Linked DNA regions of Tribolium castaneum. The main gene of each other region encodes a partner of the protein of the gene in region 2 in a complex. Links are inferred from orthologs where the notes say so. Each region holds a gene or a part of one and is shown on either strand. Other genes may lie near its edges. The genes, in order: negative elongation factor A and TH1.

Region 1 (15,354 bases), on a different chromosome or scaffold from region 2:
TAAAAATAAAAATAAATCGATTCTGTTTTACTTATTCTTAAGAGTTTTAGCCTAAATCGTCTTAATAAAATGTTTTTAATAACAGAGATAATTTTTAGGTTTTTTAAAATTTTGAGTCCGGTCCTGCCTAACTGCTGTTTCAAAATAATCGACTTCATTATTGTGGATACTAGATTTTTAATAATGTTACTTTTATTTTTTATTATTTTTTACTCTAAGTACTCTCTGAATTCCTCAGCTGCATTCTGATAGCATTGCCCATACAACGGCATTAAATCTGTAAGATTGTTATCATTGTAATAGTGAGCCTATTACAAACTAAAACTTTTAAGAACGCCTCAACTTCGCCAACACGCAGTATATCTGTGATGAAATCTGGTTTTCCAGCAAGCAGAAATATCAATTAGTTTAAAGTTGGTTTCATTTTCTTTTTCCGCTTAGACCCCGTTTATCTAATGCCCCAAATCTCGGAAAATTATCCACGTGTGCATCCTCCACAACCCTCGCATGGATTTTCCCCATTCCGAAGTGCACTTAAATAGAAATAGGGCAAATCCTAGTGCAACAATAGAACATAAAACGTTCTCGCTTCAACCCCATGCATTACGATTGTTATTTCCACACATACATATTTGCAGATGGAGGAGATGTTCGAGTTGAAATTTGAGACGAGCAAAGTGGTTACGTGACGTTGTTCGCCACTGGAGCATCAGTGTTTTTAAACGAAATAACGGGAGATTTAGCTTTTATTACAGGAACATCGACCAACAGTGTGGGCGAACACAAACACCATCCTTATTTTGAGCAATTGTGTATAAAATAAAAATAAACATAGCCACGGAATTGCGAATAAATAATTTCTGACGTGGGTGGATGCTGCTCCGATCGAACGGACTTTATGGCGGAGGTGCCGGAATACTATCAAACTTTCCCCTTCAAACTCCGAACGTTAGATTTACAAACTAATTTTTTACTCCGAAATTCCGGAATTTGTAGCGATATTTACGTCGAATAAGGGCGCAAAGCCAAACTTTATGAAAACACTTGGTGCGTCTAGACTACACCATATCTGGGATCTGTAAATTTCGCCAAGCCGCAGACCTGAGAAATCTGCAATATGTGACTTCTCAGCGGAAATGTACCCCTTATACACCTACAAAAATTCGCAATTAAGTCCTTGCGATTTATCACCGAAACACCCCCTGTAATAAATTACACGTGGCTTAATTGTAAACTTTAGAGGGTGTTATTGAGTTAATAGAATTGTGACGATCGATAAATTATTTCCGCTTGATTGAAGACGCCGTATTTTAAATCCAGAAGTTCAGATAAAAGGAAGAGATTGTAATGATGAGAAATCGACTCTAGTTTTGCGCTTATCACCAGACTGTGTGGGAGGATTAATTAAAAATCGTGTGGGAAGAGTCTGAGCTAGTTTGACCCCTTTGCACTTGTGGTTTGAGAATATACAGGTTGTTCCATCTAAACCTCACATTGAAAGTATTAAAGGTTCTAATCTGAAAGTTAGTACTCAGCCATAATCTGTCATAAGTTCTGTTCAATGAAAGTTCTCATTTTAAATGGAAAGCTTCGTTTTTCACTGCGTTTTTGGATTAGTTAAGTTATTTTAAGGGAGTTTAACCGTTTAACCGTTTTTGAGATATTTAGGATTTTTTGAAAAATTTTGAAAAAATCGGTAGCTCCTAGTTTTAAAGATTTCGAAATCATATTTAAAGAATTAAAAGAGAAAACTCATATCTGTTCTTTAGTGTGTTCAAAATTGGAAAAAAATACATCCAAAACTTTTAAAATTCAGTTTGGATAACTTCAAGTACTCATAACTTAATTTTTTCAAATGGGCCCAATTTTTATTTTATTAGTTGGAGGATTGTTTTCTGTATCTATCTGTATTAGCATTCCCTATTCCTGTCTGTTATAATTTTCATGTTATGTTGTTTTTTTTATTATGGTACAAGGTGTTTCAAGTAATTTTACAAGGCCTCGTACTCGATTAAAAATTTTAAAAAATTGGATAGTTTTTTCTAGTTTGTTCACCCCTTCAAAAAATTGCAACATTTTTAGTTAGTTTGTGTGTTTAGTTAGTGATTTTGATTAAGTTAGAACACATAAAAATTGTTTCTAAAAAACAGCAATTTATGACTATTACCAGTTAACTGTCATTAGTTTGTCAAGTCTGTCATGCATTTCTAAAAATTAAATCATTAAATGTGTATTTTTTTTGCATCTAATGTTTTGTAACTTTTGTATATTAGGGAGCGTGCCTTAAGCGCAGGACTCGTTAAGTTGTGTGAAACACCCTGTATAGGAAATTCCTTACTAACCACAGCTATTTTTGCATAGTTTGCCAAAAAAAAACATTTCTGATTAAATCAACGACAAACGACAAATTCTATTCAAAATTTAAAAAACAGGAAAAACAAAATGAATATTCATTGAATGTTGGCTTGAAAAACTTTGATTTCTCACATTTTTTCTGTCGTTTCCTTGTGGCATTTTATTTTAAAAAAATAATAACAAGTGTTCAATAATTGTTTTGGTCGTGGTTTGCTGTGGTTTTCTCTTTCTAGCATGAACGTAGGTTGCGCGATAAGTTCATATGGTTTGCTGTCAACTGTTTCAATGTTGTCTTATTTTTGCATTTAGAAGTTTTTGATAAAAATCACATTGCAAATCATGATGCAGACGTTCAAGAATTTACTCTGCAAGCTCAATTGAACGTGTGAATTTTTGGCCGCATCTTTGGTCTGACACTGACGGTACTGACAGCTGTCATCTGTCATTGTTTTGTAATGTTAACCAGACATACGTTTTTTGTGACAATTGCCACACATAGGCCACACTTGTTAGTTATGGGTGCTTAAAGTTCTACAAGCTTAACTCTAAAAATTTGGGGTTTGTTATCTTTTTTAGAAATTTGAAAGCACCAAGAGAAAGATCTAGACTTTCTCTTTCAAATGAGTTGAAAAATATTTTAAAACTTCAAAAAATGGCGGAGTTATCGATTTTTGAACTTAAAGGTGCAAATCCGAAAAAAAAATTGAAAACTCTAAATATTTCGTAAACGGCAAAATTATAGGAAATGCTTATGTAAACTATCTTAAAATAATTCTAGTAATCCAAAAACGCATTAAAAATATAGCTTTCCATTCAAAATAAGGAAGCTGAAAGCGACTTCCGGTATAACCGGAAATGTCGCCATGTTGTATTTACATTGAACAGAACCCAAAAGATTATGGTTGTATACAATACAAATTTTCAGATGACTGTCATTACTAGAACTCCAAATACTTCTAATGTGGGGTTGGGACGGAACACCCTGTACAATTTGTGCTTGCGATTGATGTTGAAAATTTCGTTTTTATTAAAGAAAAGTTAAGAAACAATTAAGGAACTTGTACCAAAGTAAAACTAATAAAACTATTATCATTTTTTCCGCTGAAACGAATATCACAATTTCAAACTTTGTCGCTAAAAACACTCCCAACTCCGAACAACCCGAATATTTTTTGCCATAACAGCCCGAAATATCATTTCGCTTTTAGCATCGGGATAATTTGTTACGTAAATATCAAAACGGGTCATCGAGCTGCTTTTTGTTCCCCATTTCACACTTTTTACTCTCGTTTCATTTATTTTTTAGTTTTCTCCGGGACGAGTGTGCTTTATCTGGGAATGCAGTTTGTTGCGTCTACACCAAACAATGCCGTCCCCAGAGACACATATTCCATTTATGTTTTGTTCCCGTGCACATTAAAGTCGACACTGTTTACATTTTTATCGCGTTAATAAATTACCGAAAAAATAAGTAAACGGCTTACGACAACCTTCAAATTTATTGGCGCTAAAATGGAAAATCCATCTTAATGGAAAATTTAGGTTTTACACGGAATGTAATTATGCTTGTGTGTCCCCATGGGAGACCAACCGACGGTTTGTGACGCAACTTCAAATGAGAAAATGGAGGTTTCTTGTGGTGTTGTGTGGATTTGAAGTGGAAGAATAGCTGTTATTAGTTTAAAAGTTGGATTTTTTTCAGGAATATGAAGTCTTTTTTCCTGGTTTTACCGAAAGCGATTTTTTTTAATGTTTTTAAAAATTTGAAACAACTGGACGAGCTACAAGTTTACAGGTGTATCAGAAATATGTGTGATAATTTTAACAGTTAACAGCTAGCAGAGCTCCATAATTAATTTTTATTTTTAATTTAATTGTGTACAAAAATAAAAGTACCGAGCTATTTTCGTTGTGATAGAAACGGACAATTTAAACAATTTTAAACAACAATAAAGATTGTTGCTATGAATACAAACTAATTATTAAACACTGACCGTCTCGTTTACACACGAGAAAGGAAAAAAATAGTGAAAATAACAAATAAGAATTTTACAAAATGTTATAAAGTTGTTGTAGGTACTTGATGAGTTTTATTACATCGTAAAATTAATTTTTTTCGTTACACACAAAATTTGTAACAATTATAATAATTATTAACTAATTTTCCAATTCTATACTCCTTCGCCGCTGACCAGAAAAAAGCCCACACGAAAAATGCGCACAAGAAAAAAGCTCCCAAAAAAGCCCACAAACATAAAAACCCGCAAAGAAAAAAATTCACACAGAAAAATGCCCACAAAGAAAAAAGTCCACGTCGAAAAAACCTCATATGGAAAAAAGCCCACACGAAAAAAGCTCATACAGAATAATTCCCACAAAGAAAAAACCCCACATGAAAGGAAACCTACACCAAAAAAAGCCCACACGGATAAAAACTCACGTTCTTTTGAAAGCCCACTAGTTCCTATTCGTAAATAAACTATTTGTTTGTCCTATTCCACTTCCATAACTGATTAAAAAAATCATTTTATGGCATCTTTTTGTGCACTTTTGATAATATAGGTTGCGGTTTTCAACACTCCAAGACCTGCAGAAATCGTAAAGAAGAGGGATAATTTTATCAGTTATTGTTATGAACATTTTTTTTTGTTTCCGCTTTCGTATAGAGATTGCATCAATTATCTAAATTCTGTTAAAATGATCATTGTTAGAAAAGTATTTGTGTTTGCTATAGCCGGGTATAGCAATTCGAATATCGCAGCAATTTTCTCGAAAACTTAGTTATTTTGAAAAAAAAAAAAACTAAACCGTTTCAAATGAGTCGATTGTAATATTTGCGGGGTGATGCAGTTGTAAACGTTTTATCATTTAACGCTCTCGAGGTACCTTTATCGAATTTTTTTTTAATTTAAGGCCTTTTTAGCGAAATAACAAGCTAATTTTTATCATTCTGGTTCAGCGGTTCTTAAAATTTAGGTCCAAAACAATTTTTTGAAAAAACTCTGATGTACTTTACTTTACGATGCGTTTTCCTATTTCCCATTCAACTTCAAATTTTTGCTAAATCATTCCCTAACTTACGGGATAATTTGTTGATAGGTATTTATAATTTGCGTGAATAAGATTTCAACAAATTATGGCAAAAAATGACAAATGCGGAGAGATCACTCAGTATAGGTTTAGGTACCGTTTAAGCTATACGCCGAAAAGCTGAAATCAATTTAAAAAAAAATTTAATTTATAAGTAAAACAAAAAAATTACAACATAAAATTAAGTTTCTTTGTCTAAAAAAAAATTGAATAGTTACACTTTTGAATATGTTAATTTACTTTTTCCTTGAATAGTAACAAAAACTGATTCTCAAATTATAAAATATTTTTATTGTTATCCGAATAATTATAAATTTATAAATCTATCCACGATTAGGTACAGAGATTTCTTTTCCAGTGAGTTAATTTTAGCGTGAGCTTTTTTCTTGTGAGTTTTTTTCTTTGTGGGTGTTATTCTGTGTGGACTGTTTTTCTGTCTGGAGTTGTTTCCATATGAGGTATCTTTTAAGTGCGATTATTTCTATGTGAGTTTTTTCCGTGAGCTTTTTTCTGTGTGAGCATTATCTTGTGCGCTTTTTTCTTTTGCGCAATTCTTGCACAAAACACTCAAGCGGATGTTTCAGAATGTCCAATTTTTTTTTAGCAACACAGTATTAATTAATTTTAATTGTAAGGAATTGTAGAAAAATTTTCAAAAAATCACATAAAGAGAAAAATAAAGTATTTAATAGCAAACGATGACTATGGTGTGATTACTAAAGAAAAAAATTAAACAAGTTTTTGTCATACGAACTTTGGATGCCGTTTATCCATGAGATGACTCGACACACTTGAATCACCCTGTAGTTTTTTTATGTTACAAAATTTTGGGATTTGGGTTGGTTTCATTGTATTTCGTTCGTTTTCCAAACGATTAAAAAAAAGTAAACATGCGCGTAGCTTTTTATTCAGTTATTTACAAATTAGAATATTTACAAAATATGTACAACAAACTTAACGTTCAGTTTATCAAACTGTTTACCTAACATAACGTTACATTCGATTTTTTTAAACTTTAAAAATCGTAAATAAATATTTCTTTCTTACGAAGCATAATAAAAAACAATTCCTATGTTAAATAAATAACAAAAAAATTTTCTTAATTCCCAATAACAGCAGGAGCTGGTGTATTTTGTGGCATCTGATTAACAACATTATCAATATGTTTGTACTTTTTGATTCTCTTCCACTCTCCATTATTATAATTCATCTGGAAATGAGTCTCTGCGACCATAGTCAGGTAAGTATCGTCAGGTTGCAACACATTTTCCTGATCCTCTGACAACTTAATAGTGACAATATTCCCCAAATGAGGACAGGGATTATCCCTTGACCCTGCCATAAAACCCAAAATCAACGCCTTCTCGGGCCTTGTCACTTTGTTCGCAGTTCGGAACATATCCTGAGCTTCCAACATTTGCTCCCTCTGGTGAAAAAAAAAAACAAAAAATAGAATTTTTTAACATATACTCGTAATCAAAAACCCACCGTTAATGCTAAGCCCCGCCTCTGCAAAGCATTCGACGTCGTCTGTGGCTGGATCCTGATATGCGTCACAGTGGGCGTGGCCTGAGTCGTCCTCTGCGCAATCGCAATATTTGACACTTGGCCGACAGCCTTCACCGATTGGTCGGTCAAAATCGTCCTCTGCCCACTTGGCGTTGTTGCCAATAGGGGTGGTACAGGCCGCATAGTTGGCAACTGTGTCGCCGCCACTGTTGCCAGTTTCACGGTCGGCGTTGCCACCTGCGCTGTCGTAACCGTAGTTACCGGTGCTGTTACCGCAGTTGTTAAAATGGAAGACGCTGCTGGAAAAAAATTAATAGGAACAACAAACTTCAAATTCGAATAATTACTGGTTGGTGCGAGGATGGGCTGTGGCGTGGGCGGCGCGTAGGCTGGGGTGGAGCTTAAACCGGCTGCATAATCGGGAGTGGTGGTCGTGCCTGAAACAGGTGGGGGGCTTTGCAAGGCAGCATTTTCGGTGTTTTTCTTCGCGTCTTCAATTTCTTGCATCTTCTTTCGTTTTTTAGCCGCAGCGTAGCCAAGTGGTTGATCGGCTATGTCCAAGAGTTTGACTCCGCCTTCTTTGCGTCCGGCTGGAGGGCGGGCCAATGGGGGCCGATTGTTTATATTGTTGTTTAATGCACCGGAGCGGAAGCCCGATGTCGGGACTCTACTCGGGATTCCTTTCAGGGGTGCTACAAGAAATAATGCTACCAACTGTCAAATAAACAACGATCATGCATACTTGTATCGGTCATTTTGCGCGGCATGCCTCTCGAGCGCACTGGAATGACCGGAGCTGATGATTTTTTGAGATTTGAGGCCGCATCTGAAGATTTTTGTAATAAATCTGCTCGTAAAATTGCCGATTTTTGTTTCTTTTTGATGGTGAAGTGTTTAGTAGGCTCTGGTTTATGGCCAACCTGACAAAAAAAAGTTGTGATTGTGACAAGTGACACATGTCAGAGACTTACGACAGAGACAAGGGCTGATTTGTTTAAATAGTGGCACTCCATGGGTAGCATAACATTCTCAGCTTGTTTGCGAACCAGTTTCCGAAGATCTGTAACTAAATCGGTGAAAATGGGTCTCACTTCGTCCAAGTCGGAAATTTCTGTGTTTAGGGACCCCGTTGAAGGGTACGTTTTTAAAGCCTCAGCTAACATCGCGACCCACAATTCCGAATCGGCGACGGCCACATCGAGGATTTGCTCCAGCTCTAACTTCCACTAAAAACAAAGTAGCAAGTGAGTACGCCATAACCTCAAACAACTTTATTAGACGACAAAGTTAAAAGGGGCGCAACCAAGGGGTTAATAACGACAAGTGGAAACCGTGGGGGCTTTTATTTGTAAACATACTTCTTCGAGGTTCCTGCGCGGGATGTGAAAAAAACTCAACAAAAGCTTTAATTTCACTTGGGTTTGAAGATCGGGAAAACAGTCTTTGATGTTGCGTAACACTTCGGCGTTCAATTGCGAGCATATTGAGCCCCCCGTCCAGGAATCGTTCGAAATTCCGAGTTTATTGTGTAACCATAAAGACGTATCGCTGTCACGCACATTCGCCATTTTGCGTTTGGAACGGTGCTGCCAACAACCAGCTGACTAGCACTCAAAGCACTACAACAATACAGCGGGAAATTTAAACACTCATTTAGTTTCATACTTTTATTAACAGTTTATAACACAGGAAAATTATAATTGCTGTTCATTTGTTTGGCTAGTGTTAGCAGGCAAACGAAATAATTCCGATTTTGCGGATTCACATAACAATTAATCTGTTCGTTGGTATCGTCCATGATTACGGAATGTTGATTAACTTCGGGTAGTTGTAACAAACTTGCCGTACTTCTTACATAATCGGCGACTCGAGCCCTCGACGCTGGGTCCATTTCGACCACACACTCCTCCTCACACTTTTGTTTCATAATCCTGAAGGATAGATAAGTCGGGTCGTTATCACTCGCAACGACTTGAATTTGCCCCAAACTAATTATCCGTTTCACATTATCATCATCAAGATTCACAATAATCAAAGCATCGGGTGCCAAAACCAACCCAATTCCTTTGAACTCAGAATCGTTAAACATCGTTGCTTCAGTCGCAAAAAGCACATTTTTATAAGTCAGCGAGCTTAGTAACTTCCATTCGTATTTTAACATTGAATTTGAATCTAACAGATTCAGGTTTTTGACCAGGTCACTCCTAGGTTGCGGTAGGGGATTCCACCCGGCCCCTTGCAATAATCCTACAATTTTAATTTTTTTAAGTCAGTTTTGTAAATTTACGATTATTATACCTTGACCAGTCAACGCCACCAGTTCGGCAGCTCCACTCAAAGGCTTAGTTAAGACTCCCACTAGCCCTAATCCGACACCCGCTGCGAGTGACCTGGGTGATGCCCCATCGGCCATTATGCTCTGAAGCGGGTGGTGGGCGATGCCTCCAACAGCCCCCAAAAGACTGATACCGAGTCCCGTCAAGCCCTAACAGAATTTTTTTGTAATAGGTTGTAACCAGCTCAGTAATCAGTTAGTCACATACATCAAATAAGAATTGATAACTTATTAAGTAATTACATAATTACTTATTTAAAACCTGTGCAAAATGGTAAAAAATATAAAATTTTGAAATGAAATTTAAAATTTCTAAAAAGCTTTCTGTAACAAGACATTCTTTGATCTATTTTAAACTGTATTCCATTAGTCTATTACAATGGAATGGTAATATCCACTATTTGTGCACCCAACAAGGTGAGAATAAATAAAACAACCTCTTCGGTAAAGACTGATGAATGAGTGATGTACTGATGATGAGCTCAGAACGCAACTTTAATAATTTATTAAAATAATAACTTGTTTAAACAATACTATTGAATTAGTAATCTTTAACCAAAAAATGGTCGCAGTAGACTTCCATTTAAAACAATTAAATTTTGCATAACTCATAAACGGTATCGGTAAAATTAAAAGGAATTTATAAAAAAAATATTCTTCACAAATGATCACATTTTTAACAGTCTTAATAATACAAATTATTTTTTGTATTCATGCAAAAACGCTTGTTTTATCCATACTTTTGCCCAGCACTGTATGTAGACTAGCACTGTTCAACTTTTCGTACTGGTATACCTACTATTATTTACGAATTAGTTAAAAGAACGTAATTTTTTGACCATTTCGAAAAAATTCTTGAAATAAATAGTTACAGGCTCACAATAAACAAATAAGAAAATAAAAAGTAAATATTACGAAAAAATCGAGAAAATTAAGCTTCTAGAAGACTGTAAATAATATTTATCTCAATACAGGTTCTTAACTTATACGCATAGATAACTTAGGGAATGATAGTGTACACATTTGTTCCACCACAGTTAAAGAAGTCTAATTATTTTAAAAACAAACAAATACTAAACAATACTTTTCGAGCATTGAAACCTAATAAAAAGAATGAAGATATAAAAAAGGCAGATGCATATTTACTGATGTGTGATTAGATTAGATATCCTTTACTTTTATAGAACAGTATATATAATAACGAATACTGAAAAAAAATTCTAATAAAAATTTTTATTACCAAGATATTGCGTAATTTTACACTGCTAAACATTTAAATTTGAAGTAGTACTAATACCAATTAATTATTTTGACTAAGTTCCTAATAGTCCTGGTACAATGGTACTTCCTTAAATTGACTTTCGACAGAGGTAAGGAAAAAAAGTTACGATCTCGGGTATGATAAAAAATCACTTAAATGCAAAATAAAAAATGGAAACAATTTTTCTTTACGGAGATAAACCCGTTAATTTGAAAGAAATTAAAACATTAAAAAATAGTGACAAAATCAAAACCTTGTAAAATTTCTGTTTTTTTTTAATATATTTTTTTTCAAATTATTAATTTATGTATCCTCGTAAAGAAAAAAATAGCTTCATTTTCACTTATTTTGCATTTAATTCATTATTGAACATAACAATTTTATTAATCACCTATGTCGAATGCTACATGAAGGCACTAGGAGGCAGTATGTTATACCGAACTTAATTATAATCTTGGTATTATTTCAAATTTAAATGTTTAGTAGTGTACAATAACATATATTTCGGTAATAAAATTTTTTCACCATTGTAACGCTTTTTGCATCAGGATTCCATACTCATTTATTTAATGCCAAAAATTTGGGCCTCCCCTGAAGACTAACTAAAGAAAATACCTGCATAAATCCTTGCGTCACCCCTTGTGGTTTCTGCCTCCTCTGTTCCTCCGTCCGTCTCAAATGCTCCTCATCCAGAGTCAATCTATCCAAATTCCTTGCAACACTCGACGCCAACTTCGTCACAGATTGCAGCGTCCCAGCTGTCACGTGTTTCATAAGAGAGGCCGAGCCATGAGTCACACCAGTTAGAAAAGCCCAAGGGCCCTGTATAAGCCCCCGATAAGGCAAATTGATAAAGTCGCGAAGCCCTATACCCATCGCTCGCGCAAGTCCACTGGGACTCCCAAGCAGTTCGAGCGAACTGACGACCCAACCAGCCCCAAAAATGGCCCCCGAGAGGTAGTGCATGGTCATTGCATGCCCCAATCGATAGGGGGTTGTCAACAGGCGGCGTCTTTCAAACCGGGCAAACTGGAGAGGGGACTGGTCCAGGGCTATGTACATTTTGAGGGAGCAATGGACGGATAAAAGCAGCGACAAGGGCTCCACTGTGATGGTTTTGAGACTCAACGGTTTGGCGATTACTAAAGAGTTCCAAAAAACCAACTCGGGGACTCTAACTGAGACGCTTTTGGACGTTGTGCGGGACTCTGGTTTTGCGCCCACGGCCAGTCGCATCGGAAACAATTGGGTGAAATATTCCATCAGTTTATTGATGTACAAATCCTCGACGTAGATCGAAAGCGAATTTAATTTCACCTTCACTTCTTTCACTCCAGTCACGTTTTTCTTGCGCAAATCATCAAACCAAGTCTCCACCACCATATCCAAAATCAACACACTGTCGGTGTTCCTGATCAGTTCTTTCGCATTTTTTTCCAAAACGTTGGCACCACTTTTCGGTTTTTGGTCCTGGCTTACTACGACCACAGGAAAATCGAACGATTCCTTCGAATATAACTCATTATCGAACTGGATGTCTAATACAGAAAGTGAAACTTTCAAATCGTCACTTTGACGAAGCTCAACGCCCACATCGTCAAAACTAAAACTCGCAACTCCTTCTTTTTCCGAATCATTGCCATGATCTGCGAGAAACACAAGACTGAAGGATTTAACGAATGCGAAAACTTCGATCGAATCCCAGTTATTCTGCAAGGTTGGTTTGAACAATGACTGGTAGAGCGATAATTTTGGGAGAATTTTTGCCGCATTTTGGAAATTATTATCAGCGACAATATCCTGGAAAATTGCTATTTATAAATGAAGCGATTCAAAAAGACCGTACTTTGTGCCGATTATCATATTTTCCGAGCACTGTCTCCATTTCATGCCGCGACAAGCGCCCCCTGATGTCAATCGCGTTGATTTCGACTCCACTTACCGACTCAATGGACAACAAGGTGGTGTAAGACGTGACTTTAACCACCAATTTGACGTCGCCAAAGTTCGGTATTTTGACGAATTGTTCCGAATCGTTGACTATGCTGACGGCACTTGACCACTCGAAATGATCGCTTTCGGCTTAAAAAATTTTTTTAGTTTCAATTTTCAATAAAAATGTGTCGTTACTTTTGGGTCCTATTGCGAATACTATTTTCTCGCTGAAGCAGGTCTGGGGTAATTCGGGGAATTTTTCCGAAACGAAAGGCATTGTGTAGTAGACGCTGGAGCCACACTCGAGTTTTGAGAACCATTTGAAATGTCTCGATTCTGGTATTGCGGCTCCGCCTTCGCCGATCGCTTGGCCGCAATACAAATTTACGGAACTTTTATTTTCGATGAGGGTCTGAGGGGAATCGTCGTGGAATAATGAAAGGTAAATCTGGCCTTTGCGTTCTTGAGAAGTCAACACGAGAGGGATCTGTGTCAAAAATTCATTATTTTAGGGATTATTTCGTTTCATAAATGTGATGGAATGATAAAAATAAAAATTGTATACAGATAATAATCTGCTTAACAAGAAAAGTGTGACAATTACGAAATATAATAAAGTAAATACAAGAAGCCCCAACACGACATTTAAAAATTATATTTTCTTCACCGACGGCGACGTGACATTTATGCATTTTTTTCGAGGTCCGTTAAGGGCCCAAAAAAACATCAGTTGGTCCAATTTTAAAATCTTTTATTAAAAAGCTTTTTTCATTTTCTATTGACATATTTCAAATATTAAAATATTGAGCAATTCGTTTCACCCAATCTTCATCTCTAACACTTGCAAATTCTTCTTCGGTTAAATAAACAAAGTTTAAAAAAAAAACAAATATAAAAAATATAAACTGAGTTTATATTCTCACCTGAGGATGACCACTTTGTGGTTTTGAAACGCGTAGTGTTTTTAAATAAAGGTTTGGTGTGTCGGGTTTTTTTTTAAACTTTGTTTATTTCATCATATATATATTAAATAAATAATTATTGATTAATTATTATTAATAATTAATATTAATATAGGAATTATTTATTAATAATTATTAAATATTAAATTTTTTGCCACACTACCTTTAATGGTTGCCTAAATCATTTTTCTTCTTATTGAATTTACTTGGCGTTTAATCTTTATTTTGCATTAATTTGTCCAGTTTAAAATCTTACGTTGTTTTATCAAATATGTAACTTTAATTACCAATAAAAAGCAACTGATCTATTGTTTATGTTTTAATGCCATGCGATCATTTAAATTTGAAATTAGAGTAGTCGGTTTTTCTTCTTTGTGATTGATAAACTAGAGAAAATTGTGGGAAATAATGTATTCTAATTGAATATTACCGTTCGAAACTTTATTATTTGACTCTTGAGCTTAATTAATTGTGATAATCAACGTTTCCATTAAAGTTAAAAAAAGTTACACCCTGCTTTAATTATTAAATATTATTATACAGCGTATTGAAGCTTTAATTCTAAATTAAAATTTTATTTTAGTTCAAAATTCTGTAAACCGTCTCTCAAAAAAAACTACTGATTATGTGTTACTATTGGAAAATATTGAAGTTTCCGCCTATAGAATACTTTACTGAAAAATACCCAAGATAATTCTGACCAAAAAGTTTTTATATAATTAGGTAGGCTGTTAAAAAAACTGAGATATGTTCGCAAAAAAAGCAATTTGCGTTTAAACAAAAGCTATTTTAACTGGAAAACAGCCCAGACGGCAGAAAATTTAGAGTGTTTATGCAAACAATGTCGTTTTAAAAGTTTTATAGTAACATGAAGAAGTCAAAAGAAGTCTAGTCCGAATGTTGTTAGTTTTTGAGACATAGACGTAGAGGAATAAATTCAAATTTCTTTGAACTCGACTTATTAAAGTTATAATAAACAAATATGATCTACGATAAAAACCAGATAAAATTTTTTACATTGGTTAATGAGAAAATTTGGGTTAAAATTTGCAAAAATAACCATAAATAAGTATCCCATCATTAAAAAGATTAATGAATAATAAAATAAGGTAAACATTTTGCATCACTTTGTCGAAGATACTACTGAATTCACTTGGCCCGAATCAAACTGGGTTTTAGTACCTAATGTTTACTTTGGAATTAAATGTATACGAATAGCTTTAATACATTTAGTTTTCTATAAATTCAACGAGCATTTAACTATAACTACTAACTTTAACTATCATTGTATTGTCTCACTTTCCTCTATATCTCTAAATTGCTTTTTTTAAGCCTATTATTATGTTTTACCAACAAAGAAAATATCCTTTTTGTAAGCAAAAATTAATGTTACAAGCTGATCCAAAAGTCGTGGACCATCTCTTGGCTACTAAATAGCAGACATTTACCTGAGTTAAAAATTTCTAAGACAAAAAATTGTTTTGAGCCTTTTTCCTTCGAAATTAACTTTTTAGTTAAGTTTTTATCTTACAGACAAAAGCAACAAACGAATACGGTTGGCAAATAATTTTTTCAAAAAATTAAAAAAAAAATACCAAAAATCTGATATCATTTTTATGCTTATCTGAACTTCATTTATCACCACGCTAAAGTTGGTTCGACACTTTTGAGACAGCCAGTAGATCCATACATTCTACGAAAGTCATGATCTTAGCTAATATACCGAGAGTTTCGCCGTTATAGTCGTAAAAAATCTTAGAATTAAAAAATATATTTCCAATTTTTTTTTACTTCAGAGGCAAATCACATCATTAACAGCAAAAACCCGGAGAGTTGATAACAGCTATAATTCTGTCTACAAGTGTTATACTTTAAAAATTAGTTAAAAATATTTCGGACATGATGTA
Region 2 (15,398 bases):
TACTGGAAGGGGCTGTTACCAGATCGTAGCGATTGATGTTGAGTTGTTTTCGTCGGGCACCCCCACTAACAGGAATGTCGGTTTCTGTATCAGATATTTCATCCACAATGTCTTTATCCCCCTGTAATTTTCGCAACACTCGAGAAGACATCACAAGAACAGTAACTTCGCTGGTGACTTGTCTGCTGTTTTATTTCTTTTTCAGGAATATTTTGGTTATCCTTTCCGCAGGAAATCAATGGACTTCTGGAGATTTTTATTTTGATAGATTTGACACACGACTTGTACTTAACCTATAAATCTTTTTGACGTTTCTCCTGTAGAAATTTTGGATTTTTTAATCATTTATTTTTTATAATTGCTTGTTTATGGAGCTTGTTTAGCACCAAGGAATTATTTTAATTTAATTAGTCAATTTACAATCTACACTGAGAACTAAAAAAAATCGATAATCACCAATCCAAGTTCCAGGATTTTTTAATAAAGTAGACTTTTAAGTAACAACTTTTATTTAATACAATAATGGTACAAGTTTGGTGGAATAGATAATTTCTATGTTTGTCTATACTAAAGTTAAAGCATCAGATGCATTTATAATAATCAGAAATAATAAAACAATTAAGCCTTCTTCAAATACAATAGTACCTAAAATATGAACCTACTGTGTAACAAGAGTAAAAACAAACAATAAATGTACAAAAATGCCTAAAGTTTGTAAAATATAACGCATTAAATTAAATTTATGATCAAAGCGGCTTGTAAGTTTCAGATAAGTTGGCTATACTAAGGGGCCACTGATCAAAAATTTAATTAAAAACATGATAAAAATTTGGAGATTATAAAATAGCTTGAAAGTTTCTGCAACAATAAAGTAAAATCGTTACAATCTAAATAATAAATAAATGAGTTAATATCGTAACAGTTTAAATAGAATGACCTTGGCACTGAATTTAAACTGTGGTAAAAATGTACAGCAAAAATAGACTTCGTACAGCTGGATTTAGTACATTTAGATATACATATAATATACATTTCGTGATAGATCCAATACCATTTGCAATTAACTAGTTTTCCAAATAATAATTATAATAATGATAGTTAAGATAACAGCACCAATAATACCAAGAATCATCTTCTTTCTCCTAATTTTATTTTTGTAAGTGCTAGCCTGGTGTAACTGCTGGGCACCTTCTCTCACAAAATCGCTAGTTCTCTCCACATTTGCTTCAATGCTGTCGATAACTTCGCCTTGTTCGTGGACAAGAGCACCCAACTCTTTGAAAATTTGATTGACATCGTTAATATCACTCTAGAACAAATTGTACAGTTATCTATTTTTTTGAGATAAAAGCACATACTTCTAACTGTCTAATGGACTGTTCCTGCTCTTGGAGGGCTCGTAACTCTGATTCTTCTTGAAGTTGCACCTGCTCTTTTGCCGCACTACTGTCTTGTAACTCGATCAATTGTTCGTCTTTTTTATAGCTACCTAAAGTTTAATGTGTGATAGAATAAGCCACTGCTTCCTTCAATAATGAACTTACTGAGGAATGGTTCGCCATAAGCTTGGGCTTTGGCTTTATTGACTTGTTCTTTTTCCTTCTGCGCTGTGCTTCTCTGAGCAGCTTGGAACATGTTCAGGGTTGAAGTAAACTCATCCTGAAGACGTTCTCTTTGCATTTTACGCTGCCGTTGCTCAGACTGGGATTGGGACGGGGATATGGCGTTAAGGTCCTTAATGTAACCATTGGTGTCCTTTACAAGCTGTTGGGTGTAGTGCTGAATGGAATGGCTGCAAAAACTTCAGTAAAAAAATCAATGAATAATGTTTTAGTACGTACAGCTGTTTTCTCAAATCAGGTGAGTCTTGGTGAGTGCCTATCTGGTTTACCATGCGTTGCATTGACGAAACTGTAAAAGCCACTTAATACAGTGATCAAATGAAGGAAAAAGTTACCATTTTGCGATATTTTCTGTATGCTAGTGCCAATGGTTTGAGCCAACTTTTGGAAATCCTGCTCTCTGTTCTGCCCCCCGTTTTGGTACGAAAAACTATCCATATTTTATTGTTTATTAATCTCTTCTGTAAAATCAAACACTTTTATCATTATGATTTGTTTGCTTGGACTAAGGCAAAGAAAGCATAAAACGTTCCATGTCTTACCTAAAACATCAAATAAAATATCGTATTGTTAATCGGAAAGTAATAATTGTTATTTTATTTGCACTTTTAATCAATAACACTTGAGATTGTGAGTCACTGCTTTTATTATTTGACAGATGTCAAAAAATTAAAATCTCATTGACAGACAAGAATGTAAACATTACGGAAATAAATTTCCAAAGCTATACGAGGTATCCTCAAAAAGTAACGATCAATTTTTTTATTAACATAAAATTGGTAGAATTTCAAATAAAACATTTTTTTAACAAACATAATACAATAGTTTATTCCTGAACGGATTACACCGTGGAGATAATAGTTAAACAAATTTTTATATAATTTTAAAGAAAGATTTTGCAGAAAACGCTAAGAATTTTTAAGACTGTTTAAATCCCGTATCGTATTCTCGGTCATAATTTTACAGCACTCGACGTCCTTCAAAAATAGACAAACTCTTAGACAAAGTCTTATGAGGTCATTTAATTCTTTTGAGGTATCATTTATAGCTAAAAAATTAAAATCATTAATAGGAATTTGGTAAAATATAGCCTACTTGTGTGCTGTGATAGAAAGGCTGAAAGATCTTCTATGGCATTCTTACACTGTTTCATTACTACTTCTTGAAACACAGGAAACCAGTATTTTGTAAATGTAGCGATGCATTCAGTTAAAGTCTTTGATGATGGCTGACATATTGGCATTCTGTTACAGGCTTCTCCATAGGCATTTTTAGCGCATTCACGAATTACAGTATTACATAAACATGTCATGATATTTAAAATAGTCGCTGATTTATTCTGCGTTTTTGGCATTATTTCTTGAGAAAGCGGAATATTATTCTGCATTTTTTGTATTTTAAACATTATTTCTTTAGATGAGCATACGGGAATTTTATTGAAATGGGCTTTGTTTTTTAAATTAATGTCATTTGTGAGGAGAACCTAAAAAATTAAGTCACCCAAAATAATTCGATGTGGATTATTGTGTTACCATATTTTCATATTTTTCTAAAACTTGCATACAGCAAGCAATTATTTTGTTATCTTGATTTGCACCTACACTTTCCTGTTCATTAGCTTCCATTAGTGTCTGCCCTGAAAAAATAATTGCTATTACTTTTGTCACTGCTTCCTTATCCAATGAAAAAAGTACCGTGAATTTTTTGTTTACTAGAGCGACTCATGTTAAAGAATAAAAATAAAGTTCAATGGTCATAATAAAAAAATGCAAACACTTCTACGTGAAACATTGTTTCAGTATACCTTTCATTCTATTATGTTTACTACTCATAGTTTTTTCTATTAACTTGATGGCATCTTGAGCTTTCTGTCTGAGGCTACGTTTGTTTGAATCGCCCTTTATAAAGTCTAACTCTTCTGTAACAATCCAGGGAATGAAAATGACTGGCTCCCTGGGTCCTATAACAAGTGTGATAAATATTTATCCATTGTTACACATTTCTTTACCTTTAACAGCTAATGTAACAATGTTAGCAATTATATTCAGCTCTGATAAGAATATATTCGTGTCAACCACAATATAAAACTGACAAGAACTCGTAATTTGTGAATTTAAAGTATTATCACTTGTGCTTTTGGACTCCTCAATATCAGTCTAAAAAGACAATTAACTAGAATATTAAACTGAATAATTAAATCAAGAGAGTATACAGGACACCATTCCATATCCTCTTCTGAAACAACTGCTGTCTGTTGAAAGCCAACAGCAAATGGATTTGGAGATTCAGTGGTAAACACATTCGTTTGTGTTAGAAACTCTTCTTTAAAAATGAAAGGAGTTCCAGGTTCACTGTTCGAACATTCCCCTGAACTCGAGGCACTTTCCTTAATAAACAGTTTTGTAGACACTTCATGTTGCACTGAATCAGTTGGTCGTTTCCGCACACAATTCTTGTCTTTAAATTTTGGTACAGATTGAGCAGATTTTGAAACTTCTTCATTTAAGCTAGTCCTAAGCCTCTTTAACCTTTCATTAGCTATGTTCTTTTTCGGCGTAACACTAATGGTACGTTTCGTTCCATGTTTTAAATGACTATCCTCTTGAACAATTTTTTCCGGAAAAATTTTAGGATTCCTCTCATTTTTTCGTTTGGCTACGAGGACTTTTCGTTTGTCTGACATTTTAATTTTTAGCAAAAAAAACTTCTTTTAATTCATTTTCAAATAACAATTTTCTGTTTTCTCGCAAATCAGCTGACAACAACAACAAAACGCCATCTTAACTTGATCACGTGATATGTACAATGCACCCGAATTCGACCTGTTGTTAAGATCGACTTAACCGAATGTAGGTGAAACTGAAACTTTTTTACAAGTAACCAGTTAACGCCAGTTACTAATTACAACTCCCACACATACTAAAAAGAACTTGGGTTTTTGTAAACTGGTGTCAAATAATCTTAAATCTGCTTTATTTAGATTTACATTGGAAAGGCACGTGGGGGAAAGAACCAAGAGTTGGTAATTCTTGGGGAATTCGTGCGAGTCGACAATCTCGCCGACGCGCTAGACCTCATGGTTTCTAATTGTTGCCGGTTTTTATCGTTAATATTAAAAATTGGTGGGTTTTCATATAAATTGTTGTAATACAAAGTGAAAAATGTTGGTCTTATTTGAGACAGCGGCAGGTTACGCGCTGTTTAAGGTAATTCTGCAGTAAAGTTGTTGACAAACTTAACCTCAAATTTTCCATGCTTTCAGCTTCTGGATGAAAGCAAATTAAAAGAAGTTAACAATTTGTACCATGAATTTGATTCACCCGAGTCGGCAGGAAAAATGTACGACCTGTCCTAGTTTCAAAATGCAAACTTATTAGTAAAATTGTTTTAGTGTGAAGCTGAAACATTTCGAGAAGTTCAATGATACCACTGAAGCCCTGGCTGCCACGACTGCAGCCGTCGAGGGCAAAGTCTCGAAAAGCTTGAAGAAGGTGCTGAAGAAGCACATCGACCAAGAATTGCAGGACAAGCTGCTTGTGGCCGACGCCAAGTTAGGGTCTGCCATTAAAGAGAAGTTCAATTTACAATGCGTTTCGAATACAGCTGTCCAGGAGCTGATGCGGTGCATTCGGTCGCAATTGGACAGTTTGATAACGGGGTTACCTAAGAAGGAAATGACCGCGATGGCGTTAGGTTTAGCTCATTCCTTATCACGGTACAAGTTAAAATTCTCGCCTGATAAAATTGATACAATGATAGTCCAAGCGGTTTCGTTGCTTGATGACCTCGATAAAGAACTCAACAACTACATAATGAGGTGCCGCGAATGGTACGGTTGGCACTTTCCCGAGCTTGGGAAAATAATCACTGATAACGTTGCGTTCGTCAAAACTGTTAAAATCATCGGAACGCGTGATAACACCGCCAGTTCTGACCTCTCCGACATTCTCCCCGAAGAAATTGAGGAGAAAGTCAAGGAGGCAGCTGAAATATCAATGGGTACTGAGATATCCGACGACGATATTTTAAACATTCAGAACTTGTGCGACCAAGTTGTAGAAATTTCCAATTATCGCACCCAGTTGTACGACTATTTGAAGGCCCGTATGATGGCGATGGCCCCAAACCTGACAACGTTGGTTGGGGATTTGGTGGGCGCTCGTTTGATTTCGCACGCTGGGTCTTTGATAAACTTGGCCAAACATCCGGCCTCCACGGTGCAGATTTTGGGGGCTGAGAAGGCGCTATTCCGAGCCCTCAAGACCAAGAAAGACACCCCGAAGTACGGGTTGATCTACCACGCCCAGTTAGTGGGGCAAAGTAGCACCAAAAACAAGGGGAAAATGTCTCGAATGTTGGCGGCTAAAGCAGCCCTCGCAACTCGAGTCGATGCTCTAGGCGAAGACGGGAATTTCACGCTTGGGGCGGAGCACAAAGCCAAGTTGGAAGCACGTCTTAGAATTTTGGAAGAGGGGAATTTGAGGAGAATTAGCGGGACGGCGAAAGCCAAGGCCAAGTTTGAGAAATATCAAGGGGTTTCGGAAGTTCAGCAGTATCCTGCTGCTGCCGACTCGACGTTACCTTCGACTTCGAAGAGGAAGAGGTCAGAGTCGGAGCAAGTGAAGGAGGAGTTGAACACGACTCAGGAGACTCCCAAGCAGAAGAAGAAAAAGGTCAAGACGGATGAGACCAATGACAGTATCAAGGAGGAGGATGAGGACAGTGGTGAGGGCCAGAAGAAGAAAAAGAAGAAGAAGAAGGCGAAAGAGGAAGCGGAGGAAGAGGTGGAAGCGGAAGTTAAGGAAGAACCTGAGGTGACGCCTGGGAAGAAAAAGAAGAAGAAGAAGTCCGAGAGCGAAGCTCCGCCTGAAGTTGTTGAAGAGCCAACAAGTGGAAAAAAGAAAAAGAAGAAGAAGAGCATTTCCAAGGAAGATGAATAATTTAGCGGAAGGTTTTTTATTTTTTACAATAATAGACATTCTTATTATTAAGGTGCTGTTATACAACAGCGGTGTAATTTGCTTTGCAATAGACTAAAAACAAACAATAAGAAATTGATTTACCACGTTTTCCCACTCACCGATAAATTCAGACACGGGGTCGTTCTCCCCATCTCCTCTCATTGTTCCCGTAATTTCGTCATTTTCAACCATTGGCATAAATAAGTGGACGAATTCGGAGCTATAAGGGGGCCCGATGGTCTCCAAAACCTACAAAAATTGCATTTTCCGGTCATTTTTAACAAAGTAACTTACTTCCGTTACAAAGTAACGAATCAGGGATATGTCCGTGTCGCCTTTTTGCCAACACTGTTTTATGTACTTTACAACGGGTACCACACATCCAGCACATAGCAAATTTACCATTCTGTCAAGGACCATTTTGCGCATTTCAAGCTAACAAAAAAAAAACTGAAAAATATCGTAAAAAAATTGATAACTTACTTGGACTAAAATTTCCAGTTCGTCTTGCTTGGATTCAAACAACCTGATTAGTAAGTCGAGTACTTGATTATGGAGAAGAGGGTGACAAGTAACTACTTCATCCAAGAGCGCCAAATGAATTGGAGTGTGTTCTGTTGACAATTTAAAGTAACTTGCTTCGGTAACAGTGCACTCAACCCAACGGATAATTCCAACAGAAACGACTGGATACCTAAAAAAATAAATATAAGTTTCTTAGTTGACAATGTTTTTGATAATGGTGATTTACCGACATTTTATTTACAAAATTTATTCAGTTTTTATTAAAATATCATCTTAGAAACTTACCTGAGACACTGATACAGCGTTGCAAGTTCTGCCATTAGCTCTGAACTCCCTTTATTGGTATTACAAATATTGTGGACCGTTTCAATTGAATGAATAGTCGCTTGAAGTTCATCTTTATTGACCACTCTTTTTTGCCCTTTTTTGGCTTGCATTTCATAGACACTTGCTGCATAAGCTAACAAATGGATATATTTGGGCTTGTGGTCGGGGTTGAGTTTTACTCCAGGTTTAAACAAGGCATCAATCAATAATTCTGAAATTGTGAATTACCATATATTCAGAATCGTTAAAAAACAAACCCAGAAATTGCGGAGTTCTGATTAAATCAATGGGAGGAGGGTCTGGAGCGTTGTAATTTCTGTACAGAACTGTAATGTCGGCTGGATTAAGTGTATTTTTTGAAAGCATTGATGTCAAGGCCTGGCAGGCCAGAGGGTATGCAGAGGCGCCGTTTAACGCCATTGTGATTGGAGTTACGTCATGGCCACTGAAAATGGATAAATAATTTTTGTGTTTACTAGAAAAAATTATACTTTTTTTGGGCGCATTTCGTGATTTCTTGAGACAGTCGCTTCATGCTACTGCCACCCTTGGATTCTCGAGCTAACACGTGGATAATCACTTGACTGTAAACGTATGTGTGCTGGCCGTGGCACACCATTTTCTAGAAAAATAGATTTTTTTTCTTAGTGAATTCAAGTGTTAAATTGCATAATTTACTGCACACTCCTTGCTGGTATTTTGCCAGTCTTCTGGATTGGTCAAAAAACTAGCAATTGAAGTTTTGAGTACTCTAGAGAAGACTTCCAACTGTTGAGCTGCCGTTGAAATGCTTGTGATTTCAGCTTGGAAACCGGCGTCGGAAATAAGCTGCAATTACCACATTTACTCATGTTACACTTAAGGCAATTTTTACGAACCTTAATTGTGAAATTTAACATTAAGCAGTCTGGATACTCCTCAGCTAATCTATAAATCAGTGACCGCCACGTGGGATGTTCAATTAGCTGTGTCAGCCAAGCTGGCGTCTCACCCTCTTCTGTGAAAATCGTGTCAGCTTTTTTGGGATCAAATGTTTTCAAAATCATCTCTTTTAAGTGGTTCTCCACCATTGCTTGAACCGAAGTTACATTGACTCCACCTGTGATTAGCCATTCTGCTATCAAGTTAGCCATCTGGGCTACGGCGGTGTAGTTCTGTGATAATTCTTCAATCACTTGCAAGGGGTTTCCTCCAGACTGGAAATACCGTTTCAGCTGGGAGAAAATTCCCGGTTCCATTATGTAGTCTGAGGTCGAAAATTTCTCCGCGCATTCCTTAAGGACCTGCTCAGGGTTTTCCGTTTCATCGCCCGCATCTGACTAAAAATACGAGTTGTTGAAAGATTCAAGATTTCAATAAATGCTCACGTCATTATCGAGTCGATCAACGGTATCCCAATTTCTCTCGTCGTATTCTTCATCCATTGCAAGTTAATTACATATAACTGGGGCAGTTATATAAATTAAAACAATAAAAAAGTCGCGTCCTTAAACATAACATAACCTTCGAAATTTGACGTTACTACCAACTAGTAGTTATTTCGCGAAGTGTACGTTGGCGGCTTTGACCCACAAAGATTTGAAAATTATAAAGCAATTCCCAAATTTTCCGTAACTAGAATTTCATGGTACAATTTTATTAAATCCGGGACACATTCAAAGGTCCAAAATTGAATTAGTTGACTTTATTCACCAAATAATAAATTAATAAAACAGTACAATATTGTTTGGGAATTTTATAAACTGGATTGGCTAACATGGTTGACAGAACTTGACATGTTATGAAATTAAAGGTTATGAGAATCAAATTGTAATTTTTTGTAATTATTTTTTTAGTAATATAAACCGAAATGCACATAACGGTGCAATTTGGGTGAGAATTGTTTAATTTTTTGCTAAAACTGTAGTATAATTTAATATTTCAGGGGTGGTGCTGAATTGCTTTTTGATAACAAAAAGAGTCACGATGTAACATTACCTGAAAAAGACAAGGAATGTAAGGATAATAAGGATAATTCACTTTTTTACTGACTTTTAATCAAAGCATTTATCGCAAATAGTCTTTTATTTATCATTTTATCAATTTTTACTACACCTGATTTGATTAGCTTATTTTAAAGAAATGAAACACATTTGTGGATATCTTTTATACTTTATTGCTATTATGCTAACTGCTTAATATGCTTAACTTATATTGCAGGGATAATTAAGGATTTACTTATTTGGATTAAAGATAATTTATTGAAAGAGCGACCAGAACTGTTTTTGCAAGATGAGTCTGTGTAAGTATACCTACTAAATTTATTTTAGCTAAATTCAGACTAAATTATAAAATGTATTTTATTCTTTGGTGAATTATGAGCAGTAAGATTAAATAATACGTGTTTTTTTAATTTTCTTAATTATTTACATGCAGGATTCAGAAACCAGTCAGTATAACTCAAATTAGCAAAAAAATGGGATAATAAGCATTCTTAAAATTTACTTTATAAAAAAAGGTGAAAATCAGAATCGTTATTGAAGGACTCGCTTCTGTAAAAGTTAACAATGAGTGATTCCTGTCCCACAAAAGTTACTTGACGAAAAGTGAAATAAATACACAGATTGGCTTCTGAGCCCTCCATGTGATGAATACAGTATTTCATTTTTTGCTATCGTTGACAAATGAATTTGTTCCGAGTTTCATATTTCCCTTTTTTCCACGAAATTACAAAATCTGCTCTATTTTTATAATACTATCCTTGTTTCGATGCATGTATGCAGCAATATGATCCGCATAGGTAATTGATTCAGCATCTATTTACTCACGCCGCGTTGATTAGTTGCTCTTGTATAGCTTGTTACGTTCCGGCGCTTAAAAATGCGCTCACTCTTTTATTATTTTTTGTAGGCGACCTGGAATACTCGTCTTAATCAATGACGCAGATTGGGAATTGATGGTAAATTGCAGTTAGGGAATACAAATTTTTATCTTTATTTACATTTTAGGACACTGTTAACTATGTCATTCGGGAAAATGATAGGATATTGTTTATTTCCACATTACACGGGGGTTAATTTTATTGTATCTGTTTTTTTTTAAATAAAAGATTTGTTTATGATGTGTTTTTCTGCTTCCACTCTTTACTGTCATGACACCTTGGCCAATGACTCCTCTTGTTTTTTTTACTTACGATAGTTGGGTCGATTAATTCTATCTTTGTCAAAACATGGTTAAAAGGAAATGAGAATTTTTCTTCTATTGATAGATTATTATATGTATTGACCTGCATTTTTTGCCAAATTCGGGCAGTTTTTTTTTAATTATTGTCCGCTGGTTATGCTATGACAATCTGACAAAGCAAGATCTTGAGGAAGTTTCCAGAAACTAAAGAAAAGGCATATATTACTGAAAAAATAAGAAACTATTTTTTTTACATTTCACTATTATTGTGCTTACACTGTGCTAGAAACAGAAAAATTTTTTTTTGGAAACGCTTAAAATGTAGACTTTTACTTGGGCGCTCCGCATTCACCACTGGTTGAGTGACAATAAAGTAGCAGTTGTCTATGTCGCGGTTTTGGTGAGGGCATTAACAGTTCTCCATAATATTATCGGAGCAGCGGCGTCGTGTAAATAGGCTCGTAAATCGATGTGGTCAGATAGTTTACACCCAGTGTGGCCCTTATATGTAAATTATCGCTAGAGATCACATAACAAGATACACAGTGCATCACACAATAGTTTGTTGGTGTGGTGTTAACCCTCTTTCTATTCACCGGCGGAGCGCAATATTCGGAAATAATGATTTTATTTAAAATTTATCGCTCTGATCAGATATTGTAAGAGCCGAGAGCACGTAATATTATTACCTTTGTGGTACTTTCTGAATATCTAAGTGCAGTGTCAGCAGAAATAAGAAATCTTTACTATCTCATTGTTCACGATTCTACCGTAGATTTTACTTATGGATTATTGTCGTCCCAACCATTTCGAATATCTGATCTTTGCATAACTTCCCGCAACGTCTGGATAAATTAGCATAAAGTCGATGAGCCATCGAGAATTATGCGAAAAACCCGTTTTGTTTCCCTAACGATACATTATAATTGAGTTCGAGTTTAATTATCATAATGATGGAAACTTTACGCATAAAATCATTATTGTTATAAGTACACGGAGCGTTGTATTTAATGGCGAAAGAAGTGGCAATTATTTGAGAAAATTGGGGAAATTGGTCATTAAATTTCCATAAGTAGGAGGGAACGATTTCCTAAAAGAAATATACTAAATTAAGGTTAAGTTTTATGATTTTGCCGCTGTAAAGGATAAGGCGGACAGGACCATCGCAGGATAATGATGTCGTTTATATGGAGATCCTGTGCGTAGATGATGCTCAACCCGGTTGACTGCAGCACTGAGGTGTGTCGAGACATATGTAATGTCTTACCATACACTTTTTGAATCCAGTTCAAACAAATATTGACGAAATTGGGAATAAATTCTGATTTCGCGCTATTTACGATGCTACCTTTCCGACATTTGTACGTTTCTGCTTTCGGCTGTGTAATAAAACTGACATTAATCCGAAAATCATTTGAATGTGTTTCATTTTTAACCGCTGTAATCTCCTTTAGTCGATATTTACACCGGCTATTATACCTACTTTTAATACAATTTATTCGCTTTTTTTATTTTAAACCTGTTCATCCAAATTCGTATTTATGCAATTCAAAAATGTGCCTGTGTTTATGAGAAAAATTTACGTGCTATATCGCTCGCACGTTACGTTTCCGTGGGGTTCGGATTATGGGTTAATTTTGGAAAAGAGGGACTGTTATCCAGAGACCAGTCGTTTGCCCATACAATTACAGTTTTATTTGAAATTGTGAGTACCTTCGGGGAGTTTTAAAGTCAACACCTACGCAATGACTGCCCCAGCACGTTCAGATGCCTATTTTGTCGCCCGTGTTCACACTCTATTCACAAAAGCCACACAAGTATAGTCTTTCGTTCATTAATTTTAATACTTTAACCAATATTATGCTGTATCAAAATTAATAAACATTTACTTTAGAATTTTTTTATGTTGTAATATCATTTCAACAATCAGATCCTTTGAGCAATTGCTGCAAGAATTTTAATAATTAAATTCGGTAAATATTTGCCCGGCGCATCCACCATAATTCACACCTTGAACAAAGTTTTATTTAAATGTTATGGTTAGAGTATTCTATTTAACACCAATTTTTGTAAACTAGTCTAAACTATTTGTGCTAAAATTTAATTGGAATAAGGCGAAAATAACAATTTATTAAAGTGTATGAGTTGTTGGTGGTTGTTGGTGTCGAGCTTTCGTTAATTCGGCAAGTTCAAGTGTGGCGATCGCGCTGGGTGTCAGAAACACATAATCAGGGTTTTATTGAATGACTTTGGGACCGTAAAAACTTTTCTCAACAAGTTCGAGGGCAGTCATTGAATATTAGTTATCAAGTTAGACAGTCGAAATCGCTTATGGATTAGACGAGCGAACTTTTAGATGAAACAATATCCGCGTTGTCTGAAGCAGTTGAGTCTCGGTTTCTTTCTCCACATATCGGGATGCTATGCCGTCCTGTGCACGTCCTTCAAAACTAATAATGGAACTCGGCTCGCTAGAAAAGAAACTTCACAAAGTTGTACAAGATATTACAGCATCTTGTATAATGGTTGTCAACCGTTTATTACGAATCTGCGACCACACATTGTCTATCTGCATCGTTATTCTAAGTGCAATCGTCGCCGGAGAAAAGATCGGGACTAAGCTTCGGGAATAAAGGACAGACACTGGCATATTGCGGACGACAGCTAAGACAAGCTATTATTCCTTCGTTAGGATTTCAGACTAAACTCACGTTAGTTTTTACAGCGTCTAGTTATTGAACGTTTGTCAGCACGAATTATAAAAATTTATTTCCTTCATCTCCCGAGACGTTGACGAAATATATCTTCTGCTTCCGTTAAGGTGTTCTTAGCATTTTTTACCGACCCCGCAAAAGTGTTACATTAGCATTTGATAAATGTTCCCCTAGAAAATCTAAGAGATTTCCCTCTAAATGCCTCTATTAATTTTTTATGGTGCAAAGTGTCTTCGTAACGCTTTGATAATTTCAAGATTTGTGCCAGTCAAATTCAGGTTTGCGAAACGAATGTCTAGTACTGAATTATTTATTGAAGTATTTCCTAAACGCAGACTAATTATTTCAAATAAAAAATTGCTATTGATTTTTTACTCGTATTACTGAATTTTAGTGATGAAACTTTCTAAAGGAACTGTTTTGTTGAATAAGTCTGGTACATATTTTTGTATAAATTCAGAAATTGTCTGATGGAGACCTAAAAGCTGCTTATGTGTCTGTGTAATTATGTGGGAAATCACGTAATGTGTGCGGAAAAAATTTACGACGTAATATAATATAGAAATTTGTAAAGTTTAATGCCTTAGGAATGCGACATAAACCGTGGATAGTGGAAACTTTGGTGTATCATAAGTTTTCAAATTACTGCAAAGTTACAAACAGGCACTATAATTATGATAAATAATTAAATTGTTAAATACAGGAATGTTGGAAGTTGCTGCATAAAACCCGCTCCAATCTCTAAATGGATTACAAACAAGAAATTTCATAGTTATCTGCAAATCTGTCATTTCATCCTAATAATTTGCAGAGAATGTTTTCAATTAATGCATTTAGAAAATAAAGCAGCAAGTTTGTAGAGAAGTAATTGGTTCATCGTTTAATTTGGCTTTCGAATTCTGAAGAAGCGATGAGGACAAAGAAGGAATGTGAATGGGGTTTAGGCTTTCGATTTGGAAGACCTTAAAATTAGTTCGTATCAAATTCCGTACGCGTGTTTGATAATTAAGTTATCTCGTAGTAGTTTATTCTTGTGTTGGGAGAGATTTATTTATGATAAAGATTGAGGCAAAAACAGGTGTTTAATTATTTAAGGTTTGATAAGTTCAATGAGTTGAACTTTGAATAATACACTAATTTTTAATGAACACGCACAATGAGTGCGCTTGAAAATTAACGAGTACATCCGGCGGAAACAAAAACTTTGCGAGCTGAGAGCCAGGTAGCTGGGCTTCGAATATTAAACTTGTTTTATGCTCGGTTCTAACGAAGATGATCAAGAAACTTGTTTTAAAATTTTATTGGCCGGTTTTATTCAGACAACACCTATTAACTGATTAAAAAAGTTATTAATCTTGTATTTATTCGGGTTTACAGCGGTGTTAAAGTTAATATATTTCAGTTAAGACGAACTTCAAGTCTACTCAGCTTCGACGAATGCTAATTCTGTTAATAGCTTTATGGGCTGCTGTAGATGCGCGAATAAATTTAAAAGCAATTATACTAAAAACCCACTTTTTAATTACAGATAATTTTAAATATTCACCAGCTCAGAAGATAAAAATTAAAGTTAAATAAAAATGAATGTCCATATTTTAATTAGCCTTTAATTCTCGTTAAAAATGGTGTTGGAATTGGACTTTCAAATTGCATTGCACGTTTTATTTACCTAACATTGCGCAGAGTGCAAAAAGTTCTCAAAGTAACAGAACTCTGAGTAAATACACTTTTCAGCTGGAAGACAGTAATTAGCTAACCTAAGTAATTGCTCGTTTCCTTTTCGTCGATTCAATTCAATTAGCTTTCACACTATTTCGCCCCATTTGGACAAAAACTGAAACGAAGTTTTTTATTATCTGCTCTCGCCGCAGGCAAGTGCTTACTCTAAAACAATAGAATTACTGGATTAAACAAGTACGGTTTAGTGCTAGATAATTTCCGCTAAACTTTCAGAAAATATCAACGATTCTAAACCAGGACTTGGTCTTACTGTTTTTTTCTCCGACACAATGTAAGAACAACTTTGTTATTTTCACATGTGCCATAAAATTTTACGACATGCATAAAATATTTTTCAGAATTAAATA

The links.
Region 1: the proteins of TH1 (region 2) and negative elongation factor A are in contact, whole or in part, in a crystal structure (PDB 5L3X), measured with the Homo sapiens proteins. The link is inferred for Tribolium castaneum from reciprocal best matches to the Homo sapiens genes NELFCD and NELFA. Residues at the interface, in XP_047296144.1 of Homo sapiens: Cys204, Gln205, Gln206, Leu207, Glu208, Phe210, Ser211, Leu214, Arg215, Leu218, Ala219, Ile221, Leu222, Asp223, Gly225, Glu226, Cys241, His242, Gly243, Glu244, His245, Thr246, Tyr247, Leu248, Phe249, Ala252, Met253, Ser255, Val256, Leu257; in NP_005654.4 of Homo sapiens: Leu23, Trp24, Ala25, Leu54, Leu58, Leu61, His62, Arg65, Pro88, Trp89, Met92, Val93, Ile96, Leu97, Phe100, Gly104, Ser105, Leu106, Leu108, Leu110, Asn116, Val117, Asp119, Ile120, Leu121, Glu123, Leu124, Arg125, Lys127, Val128.

The regions. Positions count from the first base shown.
Region 1 is NC_087395.1:19,621,262-19,636,615, reverse strand, and holds negative elongation factor A, read right to left. Parts: upstream 8,567-15,354; 5' UTR 8,523-8,566; coding exon 8,313-8,522; intron 8,181-8,312; coding exon 7,926-8,180; intron 7,875-7,925; coding exon 7,697-7,874; intron 7,647-7,696; coding exon 7,302-7,646; intron 7,254-7,301; coding exon 6,934-7,253; intron 6,872-6,933; coding exon 6,545-6,871; 3' UTR 6,337-6,544; downstream 1-6,336. Other genes in the region: intermembrane lipid transfer protein VPS13B, read right to left, coding at 8,633-9,201, 9,253-9,439, 11,166-12,350, 12,397-12,632, 12,681-12,972. UniProt on the Homo sapiens protein: Essential component of the NELF complex, a complex that negatively regulates the elongation of transcription by RNA polymerase II.
Region 2 is NC_087394.1:30,823,475-30,838,872, forward strand, and holds TH1 (negative elongation factor D), read right to left. Parts: upstream 8,972-15,398; 5' UTR 8,860-8,971; coding exon 8,803-8,859; intron 8,755-8,802; coding exon 8,314-8,754; intron 8,264-8,313; coding exon 8,114-8,263; intron 8,058-8,113; coding exon 7,927-8,057; intron 7,881-7,926; coding exon 7,693-7,880; intron 7,647-7,692; coding exon 7,394-7,646; intron 7,278-7,393; coding exon 7,067-7,277; intron 7,019-7,066; coding exon 6,878-7,018; intron 6,833-6,877; coding exon 6,703-6,832; intron 6,677-6,702; exon of another isoform or gene 6,656-6,676; coding exon 6,621-6,655; 3' UTR 6,563-6,620; downstream 1-6,562. Other genes in the region: Nulp1 (ribosome quality control complex subunit TCF25), read right to left, coding at 20-151; Syx7 (syntaxin-7), read right to left, coding at 1,061-1,309, 1,359-1,489, 1,545-1,792, 1,842-1,911, 1,958-2,060; transcriptional protein SWT1, read right to left, coding at 2,531-2,670, 2,718-3,105, 3,155-3,258, 3,427-3,582, 3,631-3,778, 3,835-4,305; nop5 (nucleolar protein 58), read left to right, coding at 4,784-4,828, 4,885-4,961, 5,014-6,562; Urm1 (ubiquitin-related modifier 1), read left to right, coding at 9,285-9,307, 9,360-9,430, 9,635-9,716, 10,325-10,373, 10,423-10,491. UniProt on the Homo sapiens protein: Essential component of the NELF complex, a complex that negatively regulates the elongation of transcription by RNA polymerase II.